Linked DNA regions of Oryctolagus cuniculus. The protein of the gene in region 1 purifies or fractionates together with the protein of each later gene. This does not show direct contact. Links are inferred from orthologs where the notes say so. Each region holds a gene or a part of one and is shown on either strand. Other genes may lie near its edges.

Region 1 (5,494 bases):
CAGGGGTCGCATCACGTTCTCTCAGGACTGACACCTAACAGATGAAATATTTTAAGCCTGAAAATCTTTATGTTTATAAAACAAACTGGTACTTTGCTCAACGCTATGAAAATGGACCATCTCCATGACTGCTCTACACACCACTGAGTGTGTGCTCATTAGTACTTGCTGAACGGGGAAAACCCGGAGACTGCAGCTCAAGAAAGACGAGGGCGTACCTGAAGGTTCCGCTTGCTTTTCCTTATGTTATGCTGCAACAGAAAATTGTTCTCCAGAGAGAAGCGACTGTACTGATCGTCCAGCTGCGAGAGCAGGTCATGGAAGAGGATGGTGGCAAACGAAACATCATTGGCGGCGTGCTCCCTGGGGATTGAAAATGTCCGTGTTTCATTCCAGATGCTACTTAAGGCAGACAACACAAACACTGCTTTCTTTATGGCAATGACCGGAAAATGATTTTTTAGATGGCACTTTCTTCCTTGTAGCAGCAACTTAAACGGTTTTCCTGTACATGCAATTAAAGTGAAAAATTCTAGAACTTGAAGAGACTGGGCAGGAAACTGTTCATGGTGAACAGCTCCAAAGGAAAAACAAAACAAGAAACCAGAATCTTCATTGTCTATGTCAAATACTTTCAGCATGTTTACACCTTTCGCAGTCAGCAAATAGTACATTTTAAAATAGAATGCCTACTACCTCTCTTAAAACACATTTCCTTTTTCACTAGCCTTCTTGGTATCTCTAATTAATATTTACCATAATTCAGCCTTAATCATTTCTTTAAATTACTTTCCATAGCCTGGATCCTGAGTTGGAAAATAACTGATGTCAGAGTTTTCTAAATTGCCCAAAGCAGTTAGGAGTACCTATCACAATTAAATTTGACAAAAATGCTTAATGGATAGTGTATTTAGTTTTGTAGAGACAAACCCCAGTTTTTAAACTTTTATGTGACAGATGGAATCTCTGGTCATTGATGAGATTTATCTTTGTGTAAATTTAGCTCCAACTCATTTAATAAACAAATACATTTTTAAAATTTTTATATATATATATTTAAGTGATAAATAAAATTGTATGTAGTTGTAGTTATGGTGTACCAAGTAATATTTCAGTGTGTGCATTCATTGTGTAATGCTCACAATCAAGTATATCCATCTCCTCACACATTTATCACCTCTCCATGGCAAAACATTCAAAATCTTTTCTTCTAGGTTTTTTGTTATTAGAGTTCACAGTACATTATTACCTATAATCATCCCATTATGCAACAGAACACCAGGATTTATTACTCCTACCTAACTGACACTTAGTATCTGTTGGCCAGTCTCTGGTAACCACCATCCTATTCTCAACTTCCATGAGATCAGTTTTAGATGACACATATGAGCAAGATCATGGTATTTGTGTCTGGATTCTTTCATTTAATATCACTGTCCCCTAGTTCCATCTGGGTTATTGTAAATGACAGACTTCATTCCTTTCTACGGCTGAATAGTATTCCATCGTGTTTAGACACATTTTCTTTATCCATCCTTCAGTTGAGAAGTTTCCACTATTGTGAGTTATGCTGCAATAAAACATGAGACTGCAGGTATCTCTTCAGCAGACTAACTTCATTTTCAATTAGATATATATTCCTAGTAGTGGAATCATATTATGGTTCTATTTTTGATTTTTGGGGAATCTCCATACTGTTTTCCATAATGGCCATGCTAATTTACATTCCCACCAATGGTGCAAGGATTCCCTTTCTCCACATCCCCATGAGCATTTGCTGTCTTTGTCTTTTTGATCATAGCTATGGTAACCGGAGGGAGGCAGTATCCCACTGTGGCTTGGATCTGCATTTCCCTGATGACTAGGAACGTCTTGCACCAAGTACTTCTGGAGTGTAGATAGACGTGTTCCTGTCTAGTGAGTTCTCCTTACCAGTCCTGATTTTCTAGCCACTGTGCCAGGTACTGTCGAATTTCCATGGGAAAACTGTCATCATAGAGCTGGTGAACCTGCTCCAGGAATTTAGAGTCGAGCTGCTGAAGCTCATACCACTGAGACATCCTGCAGGAAGAGAGCAACGTGTCACAGACGGAAGACTGCAGCTCTAAAGAAAGCCTTCTTTCTTCACGCTCTTGTACACATCTTAACCCCATACACAATCTGTCTCTGAAATATATCATTTAAATGCCTATATTCTAAACCACGTTTTTTTAATTGAGTTTGAGGATCAACATTTTCTCCTTCTCCAGGAAACACATCTCCCGATCTTTGCTCAAATGTCAACACACAGCTTTCCCTCTCCACCGTATTTACATCACAACCGCCTCCTGCCTAAGAAACCACCCTCCACAGCATACACTGACCCACCAGGTACTTTATTATTTTGATTATGGTCTGATTTGACCACATGAAGGAAAAGATTTTAGGGGGAAGAGGACTTTGTCCCCTGTTTTATCTCCAGAGCACACATACGAAGTACTCATAAAGACTTTAAAATGAGCCGGGGCGGGCATTTGGTACAACAGTTAAGACAGTCCTTGGGACACCCGCACCCCACACCGGAGCGTCTGGATTGGAGCCCCAGCTTCCTACAAATGTGCGCCCTGGAAGGCAGCAGACGGTGACCCTGCCCCTCGTGCGGGAGACCTGCACTGTGTTTCAGGCTCCTGGTTTCAGCTAGGCCCAGCACTGACGGCTGCAGGCATGTGGGGAGTGAATCAGTGGATAGAGAATCTTTTTCTATGTCTGAGTTTCAGATAAGCAAATTGTAAAAAATATAAATAAATAAATAGCTGGTAAGTAAAATAAACATTTTAAATGAATCTGCCTTTTTAGCAAACAAAAAATGCAACACTTTATTTAGTTTTGCTTTATGATCACTGCAAAAGCTCTCCAAAAATCGTTCCCCAGCAAAATTACAGTACATGTGTGATTTACTCCAAGAACTTTTCACTCTCATTTTCTGCTCCATGGTTCCAGTGTGTCCCCTGGGGTTTCCTGCGTGTTGGCAGCTTGGTCCTCAGCATGATGATGTTGGGGGACCATATAGAACTTAAAAGAAGTGGGGCCTAGTGTAAGGCGATTGGGTCAGGGGTGCTTCCCTGAGAAGGAACTGATGCAATTCTCATGGGACTCTGGCTAGTTCCCCCAAGAGAATATAAAAATTAAATTAAGTTAAAAAAAAAAAAAAAAACCCAGCAGGGCTTTTCCCTCTTCAGTGTCTCTGGCTTTTTGTCTTGCCATGTGATTGCACCAGCTGCATGCACTCCCACCATGATGCCGTCCACCAAAATGTGCCAAGCCAGGGGCCATCACTGGAGCTGGCACCACATTGTTTCGACTTACCAGCCTTCAAAACCATGAGTTAAATAAACCTCCTTTCTTTATAAGTGACAGAGCCTTGATTGTTTTATCATGGCAATAGAAAACTAACCAACACATATGGTAAAATTATCTTCGTTATAACATCTTAGAAGTACATATGTTCTCTGCCTACAGCAAACGATAAAGCTGGCACAAAAGAAATCCTAGACCTCACTAATAATTTCTGAAGGCTCAAACATTATCAAATGTAATTCGAAGGGACAAAGTCACACTTATTTCTCTGGGTAACTGTTAAGTCAATTTTACTCTTCAATCTTAAAGAAGAAAAACTTCAACAAAAGCCTGATTAAGGAAGTCCTAAAATCCATTAGGACAATGAACAGCCTCACACGACCATTATATAATTTAGGATTTATAGCAGCCTTTGGCTAGCAACATTCAGAGTGGACACCAGTGAACCTTGTCCTGCCCGAGCCTGGGGGAAGGAGTGCACAGTTTCCAGAAAGGCATGGATCAGTGTGGATGCACACAGGTCCCTGAGTGTGCTAACGCCAGGCCTTGTCTACCCCACAAGTGACGACAGAGCTACTCACCTCACAAATACCAGCAGAAAGGGACCCGGGCCCACCCCATTTGCACACCTGCTGTGGCAATTTGATTTTTTGCTCCAGATGTATTTTACCTGAGCAGAAGTCTCCACACCTGAGGCTCTCTCCCTGCCTGCTAGGTGTCTACCAAGGATATCCCTAAAGCAAATATGTGGGCCTGGCCCCCGGTAGAGGCTGCAACCTCTTACTAGCCAAGTGAACCCTGGCAGCTTATTCCCTATCAACACGCTGGTTCTAGAGGCTGGGTGAGCTTGTACACCCACCACACCTGGCACAGAGCAGGGGAAGCAATAAATTCACATGAACAAACCCAGGCTCGATCTTATCTCCCTCAAAACCTGTTACCAAAGCAGAGTGGCATAACCATCCTCCAATTTCCTGGCCCAACCCCAAATTTGGGGCTGACACTTTCCTCTCTAGTCCCAAGATCTGCTGCCACCATGTTCCCAATCCAGCCTGTGCTGCACATGGATTTTTTTTTTTAACTTTTATTTAATGAATATAAATTTCCAAAGTACAGCTTATGGATTACAATGGCTTCCCCCCCATAACGTCCCTCCCACCCGCAACCCTCCCCTTTCCCACTCCCTCTCCCCTACAATTCACATCAAGCTTCATTTTTGATTCTCTTTATATACAGAAGATCAGTTTAGCATACATTAAGTAAAGATTTCAACAGTTTGCTCCCACACAGAAACATAAAGTGAAAAATAATAGATGATTTTTTAAATGATGATGAAATCAGAGCAGACCTATTGTCATGTTTAATCCCAGTGACAGTCAAGTTGGGAATTGATAATTTCTTTTTTTTTTTACAGAAGATCAGTTTAGTACACATTAAGTAAAGATTTCAACAGTTTGCACCCCCATAGAAACACAAAGTGAAATATATTGTTTGAGTACTCGTTATAGCATTAAATCTCAATGTACAGTACATTAAGGACAGAGATCCTACATGAGGAGTAAGTGCACAGTGATGCCTGTTGTTGACTTTACAAATTGACACTCCCATTTATGGCATCAGTAATCTCCCTATGCTCCAGTCATGAGTTTCCAAGGCTATGGAAGCCCTCTGAGTTCTCCGACTCTTATCTTGTTTAGACAAGGTCATAGTCAAAGTGGAGGTTCTCTCCTCCCTTCAGAGAAAGGTACCTCCTTCTTTGAAGACCTGTACTTTCCACTGGGATCTGACTCACAGAGATCTTTCATTTAGGTTTTGTGTTTTTTGTTTGTTTGTTTTTGTTTTTTTTGCCAGAGTGTCTTGGCTTTCCATGCCTGAAATACTCTCATGGGCTTTTCAGCCGGATCCGCATGCCTTAAGGGCTGATTCTGAGGCCAGAGGCTGCACATGGATTTGGACCACTTCTGTCTCCTGTGCAAAAATGATAGATCTGGGATGCAGTGGGTTGAGCTGCTGCCTGCGACACTGGCATCCCATAAGGATTCTGGTTTGAGCCCCGGCTGTTCCACTTCCTATCCAGCTCCCTAATGCACCTGGGAAAGCAGCAGAGGAGGCCCAGGTGTCTGCCACCCACACAAGAGACCCAGATGGAGGTCTAGGC
Region 2 (5,494 bases), on another chromosome or scaffold:
GATGCCTTTCCGTAGCTTTTGTCTTAATGTTTGAAGCATACTGTCGCTCCTAAGGATCGCGGTGCTAAGTCAGCACTTGAGCTGTAATGAGGAGCAGGCAGCGCGTGGGCCCCGTGGTCTCCATGTGCTGGTGGTACGCTTTGCCCTGGGTTTAGCTGTCCTCCCGAGGCATCTCAGTCGCCTTGTTTACTTTGCTCCTGACCACATCACAGTCGAGAATGGGTGCAGGGAGGCCCACCCCCCCCCCCACCCCCCACCCCGGGCTCTGGCCGCTGCAGAGATTCCAAGTTACAGTCTGGTACAGATGGTGGCAGTGAGCAACTCTGAGGAAGAAAAGGAAAATTTGGGCTGTGGCTTGCTTATTACTCTTGGAACTTCAAACTTTCTCCTCTGCAAAATGAGGCCAGAAATGATCAGATGCCTCACGAGGTGCCTGTGAGGGGGAATGAGAGGAATGGAGGAGAGCGGGCCGGTGCGCGGCCAGCAGCCGGTCCCCAGCTGCTCAGACAGAGGTGCGGGGAGGCGGCGTCTCTGCTTGCGCCGCGCCCTCAGCATTCAGAGGAGGGAGAGGCGCAGGACACTCAGCTTGAAGTCAGATTCCAAAAGGCAGAGGAGTTAGGATTTATGTTTGTTTTCCAAGTACTGGGCATTTGGAAAGGGGTTTTACTATGTTTTTTTGTTTTTGTTTTTTCCAAAACTAAAATAATTTTTCTCTCCCATAGGATTAGATTTCTTCCCTTTCTTATCAGGAGACAATCAGGTATGTTACATGAAAAAAGTTACCATTATTTTACTTGTACATTCAAAATATTTAAAAGTCTAATATGTTATCCAGGAGGCAGAATACATTTCTCTGGAAAATTCAGAGTGACCCATGCCTGTTATAGTTAGGTCTGGGAGTGTGGATGAGAGCCCTGGCCTCAGTAGAGCCTGCATCCGTCTGTGGGCTCGCAGTACTGTCTGGAAGAGCAGCTGCAGGCAGCTGGATGGAGAGACGATTCCTGGAGACGCAGTCACACGCCACACGGCGTAGACCATCCCCGTGCTGAGGGCTCACAAGAGGATGACTTGCTGTAGCCCAGTGACATCACAGTTGGGTCACGTCAGCACACTGCCTTCCTGTGCGTGCGTGGGTGTGGGGATAAGCAGACCTAGCGTTGCCAGTCACGGGCGAGCACAGCATGTACAGTTATGCTCACTGCATAACACTTGATAGTGATCAAAAGCATCTCACTGGCTTATGTCTATTACACCACACCACATTGGTAACTTTTGACCGGCTCCTGCTAACCCTACCGATGAACAGGAGAGTTTCAGAAGTATGCCACACTTCATTGGCAGCAGCCCTCTCTCTCATGTCTACTGATTGTGCCCTTCTAGAGCGTGCTTGATTTAATCTGATTTCTTTGGTTCGCTGAGGTCCCTAAATGTAGAAAACCCCTCGCTGACACTGCCCAGTAAGAAGCCACACTGATTGACCCAGAAACAAAATATAAGGTGATTAACGAAAGTTGAAAATCAGTGATGGGGGCTGGCTCTGTGGTGTAGCTGGTAAAGCCGCCACATGTGTTACCAGCATCCCATATGGGCATCAGTTCGAGTCCTGGCTGCTCCACTTCCTATCCAGCTCCCTGCTAATGGGCCTGGGAAAGCAGGGGAAGCTGGCCCAAGTGCTTAGGCTCCTGCCACCCACGTGGGAGACCCAGATAAAGCTCCTGGCTCCTGGCTTCTACCTAGCCCAGCCCCAGCTGTTGCGGCCATCTCGGGAAGTGAACCAGAGGCTGGAAGATCTCTTTGTCTCTCCCTCTCGCTCTCTGTGACGCTGCCTTTCAAATAAATTAATCTAAAAAAAAAGAAAAAAGAAAATGGATGACGGTGTCGCTCAGCAGTCAGGCCTGTCCCATGGCGAGGTAGCTCCTGTCTTGATGGACAGACGTGGAGGAAAGGAAGCTGTTGGAGGAGCCGCTTTACTGAAGGCAGCAGGACCAGTGAGACGGCCAGAGGGGCCCACACCAAGGGTGGAGAAACTTGTGCTGACCTGGGTTGGTGACAGGCTCATCCCTCTTGGCACCATGGTGATCGTAGCCAAAGCTCTGATCAGAACGGAAGTTTGCAAGGTTGAAAGAGGCCAGGCTCAGCTTCGATGTTGAGCTCACTGCCAGCTGTGGGTGACGTGAACACCCGAGAGGCCTCATTCATCACGCATCGTGAAGGTGAGCGGTGGATCCGCACGTGCTGATGCGACGGCAGCCGAAGAAAGAGCTGTTGGAAATGGAATCGGCTGACTGCGGAGGGGCCTTCCTTGCCGGAGCTGATCCTCACTGTGGAGGATGCCTCCCTGTCCTGGAAACGGATGCCCGCAAGGACTTCGTCCATGAGGAGGCCAGGCCAGTGCCAGGTTTCGCGGCTAGGGTAACAGTCTGGCTTGCGGGCCGTGAAGCCGAGCGTGATGTGGCACGGTGCGAGTGCCAGGGCTTTCGAGCCTGTCAGCAAGCACACACTGCACGCACTGCAGGAGCAGCAGCAAGTCACGGATGGCCCCGCCCCTCCTCCGAGATGCCCTCCTGAATTGCTTTGCCAGAGCACTGGAGAAGTACGGGGTGGAGGGCAACACGCCTTCAGGGTTTTGGTGACTGTTGTAAGGCTCCCAGCGCCTTTTCTGTGGTGCCGTTTGTCCCGGGATGAAAGGACAGTTTCTTCCTCCAGACTCAGATCCAGCCAGTGGGTGAAGATTCATAAGGCCCTCCCTCTATGCAAGGGAGATCTTTGCCCAGGCTACCACAGCTGCGTAGACACAGGTGCAGCCCTGGAAGGACTCCCCGGACCTTGCGTGGGCCTGCTGTGGCGTCACCCAGGAGTACATGGTTGGCATCTGCAAGAGAGTCATCCGTGACTTCAGAAGATGTGCCAAGGACGCAGAGGTGGCAGCAGCCATCCAGGCTGGGGCTGAGCCGGGCGGGTGAGGATGACCCAAGGGGCTGCCGGAGCTGCTTCCTGAGGAGTCCAGGAGGGAGGAGGTGCAGAGGGGCCAGAGGAAAGGGCAGTGCGAGAGGAGAGGGCGCTGCCCAGAGGTCTGCAGTGACGTTGAGCAGAAGGCCTGCACAGCCTGACACGCTCCCTAAGAAGCGTGGAACATGGGCCCCAAGCGGGACATGCTCCATAACTAAACAAGGATCCTCACGGGCGCCGCTGCTTGTGAGCAAGCCTGTGGTGACCGACAGCCCGACAGCAGACCGCCTGGACAGACGGCCTGGACAGAGAGCGGCCCTCGGGCGGGGCTCCGTCAGCAGGCCAGACGGCGGAGACAGCGGCGCGAGTGTGCTGTGGCCCGCTGGCCTGCCGGCGGGACAGGAGGCAGGGGCGGAAGACAGCGACAGGCGAGATCCTCACCCAGTGTAGCCTGCGCTCATGTGTTTTTCATTTTTAATAAAAATATTTTCTGAAAATTTAGTCCAAAAATGCTTATAGAATAAAGATATGAGGAAAAAACTTTATATAGCTGTATAGTATGTATTTTAAGCTAAGTGTTACTAAATAGTCAAAAAGTTTTAAGACTTAAAGTGTTTATAAAGTAGACAAGTCACAGGAGGAGAAGCCGTGTTAGGGGAGCCACAGGCCATGCTGTGTGGTGCAGGTGGGTGGCAGGTGCGGCCGCCCAGCTCTGGGTGAGCGTGCTGCAGGGTCCAGGTAACGAAGGCATTGCCTGCTGCCGCGGTGCCCGGACGTGGCCCCATCATTGAGTGCCGTGTGACTGGAACTCCTTAGGAGAAAGCGGGTGGACTGTGCTGCTGCTTCTGGCCATATTCTTCTTTGGCAAGTAGAATTTTGAGAATTGCTTGCCTTACAAATTAAAACAAAAAATTACTATTTTCCAGTTCCGGATGGAAAGATGTGTCTCAGAGATAGTTAGTCATTACATAAGGCCATTGGGTTTTGCACACGTTTAGGAAACCACCGATCCTCAGGACGCAGTAGCAGTAGGAGTGCACTCTGCAGAAAAGGGGTTGGCTGGTTGTGTCGTTAGCATTAACGTGTCTCGGCCCTTGCCCCCCCCCCCAGCATTACAACACCTCGCTGCTGGCCGCCGCCGCCGCCGCCGTCTCGGACGATCAGGACCTCCTGCACTCCTCGCGGTTTTTCCCGTATACCTCCTCGCAGATGTTTCTCGATCAGCTGAGTGCAGGAGGCAGCACCTCATTGCCGACCACCAACGGGAGCAGCAGTGGCAGTAACAGCAGCCTCGTGTCCTCCAACAGCCTGCGGGAGAGCCACAGCCACCCGGTGGCCAGCAGGAGCGGCACGGACACGGCGTCCATCTTCGGCATCATCCCAGACATAATCTCCTTGGACTGAGCCCCCGGCCCAGAGTCAATGAACTCGGCAGAAAGAAGAGAACTTTGTGCTGTTTTACCTTATTCTGTTTAGAAAAGTACACAAGCGTGTTTTTTTCCTTTTTTTAGGGAAAAAATTAAAAGAAATGTACAGAGAACAAAACTATATTTTCAGTTTTACTTTTGTATATAAATCTAAGACTGCCTGTCTGATAAAACACTTATAAAAAAAAAAGAGAAAAGAAAAAAGAAAAATCAAGCACCCACAAACCACCTTCAGTTCATTTTTTCCTGGATTCTGAAGATTTTTCATCAGTTGTCCTCTGGTTTTGGTTTTATTTTACTTCAATGGCATTATTTTATTTGCAATAACAGAAAAGGAATTGCATGTATGAAGTTTTAAATTGTGGGCTTTGTTGTGGGGAGGGGTTGGGGGGATGGTTTGATTTCCATTTTCTAAATATGACAGACTTGGATTCTGTCTGCGTGTGTGTGTGTGCATATTTTATCCAGCCTTAAGTTATAAGTTTCATCTGTCCCACTGCATTCCTGTATTTCCAGGACATGGCTCGTGCGTGCGTGTGTCTGTGTGGATATTTTTCTGTCGTTGCTGTTCCCTCTCCTCCCGAGTTTGCGTTCAGTTCACACATCCGTTGCCTGCTTCTTTCAAACTGCTTTGAGGGTCTTGAACTCACACGGGAGCCCTTTTCGCAACCAGCCCAGTTGCGTGTTCTCTCCGCCAGGTGTTCTCCCCTGAGGATTTGCCTTAGGCTAATGGAGGAGAGCCCCCCCGGGTGGGGAGTGGGCTTGGCAGACCTGGGGTAATGCGCATCCGTCTAGTTCTTGATTCTCAGCCCGGATTGCCAGCATTGCGTGTCTACACCCAGCCTGTGACTACCTGCGTGTTTGGCCACAGGGTAGCAAGTTTTCATGGAAGATCACTCATGCCAAAGGACGATGGAAAAGTGCTTAGGAAGCCCTGCTGGGTGTCCTGTGCAGCCGACAGAGGTAAGGTGACGCCACCTCAGGAGGAGAGACAAGTCCGTTATCCCAAAGGGGCGTTCTCTCTGGAAAACGCAGTGCTGCACGTCCGTCTGTAGGAATGTGAGCAGTTGATGAGCAGTTGAAATTCCACGTGGACTTGATCCACTTCTTTTCCACTC

Evidence for each region. Proteins that work in one complex are often made in the same cells at the same time.
Region 2: the proteins of STAT1 (region 1) and PIAS1 purify together in Homo sapiens (affinity purification with western blotting; 5 studies listed by BioGRID). This does not show direct contact. The link is inferred for Oryctolagus cuniculus from reciprocal best matches to the Homo sapiens genes STAT1 and PIAS1.

What each region holds. Positions count from the first base shown.
Region 1 is NC_091434.1:49,296,850-49,302,343, reverse strand, and holds part of STAT1 (signal transducer and activator of transcription 1-alpha/beta), read right to left. Parts: intron 2,062-5,494; 5' UTR 2,061-2,061; coding exon 1,933-2,060; intron 364-1,932; coding exon 219-363; intron 1-218. UniProt on the Homo sapiens protein: Signal transducer and transcription activator that mediates cellular responses to interferons (IFNs), cytokine KITLG/SCF and other cytokines and other growth factors.
Region 2 is NC_091443.1:90,958,145-90,963,638, forward strand, and holds part of PIAS1 (E3 SUMO-protein ligase PIAS1), read left to right. Parts: intron 1-722; coding exon 723-760; intron 761-4,059; coding exon 4,060-4,353; 3' UTR 4,354-5,494. UniProt on the Homo sapiens protein: Functions as an E3-type small ubiquitin-like modifier (SUMO) ligase, stabilizing the interaction between UBE2I and the substrate, and as a SUMO-tethering factor. Catalyzes sumoylation of various proteins, such as CEBPB, MRE11, MTA1, PTK2 and PML.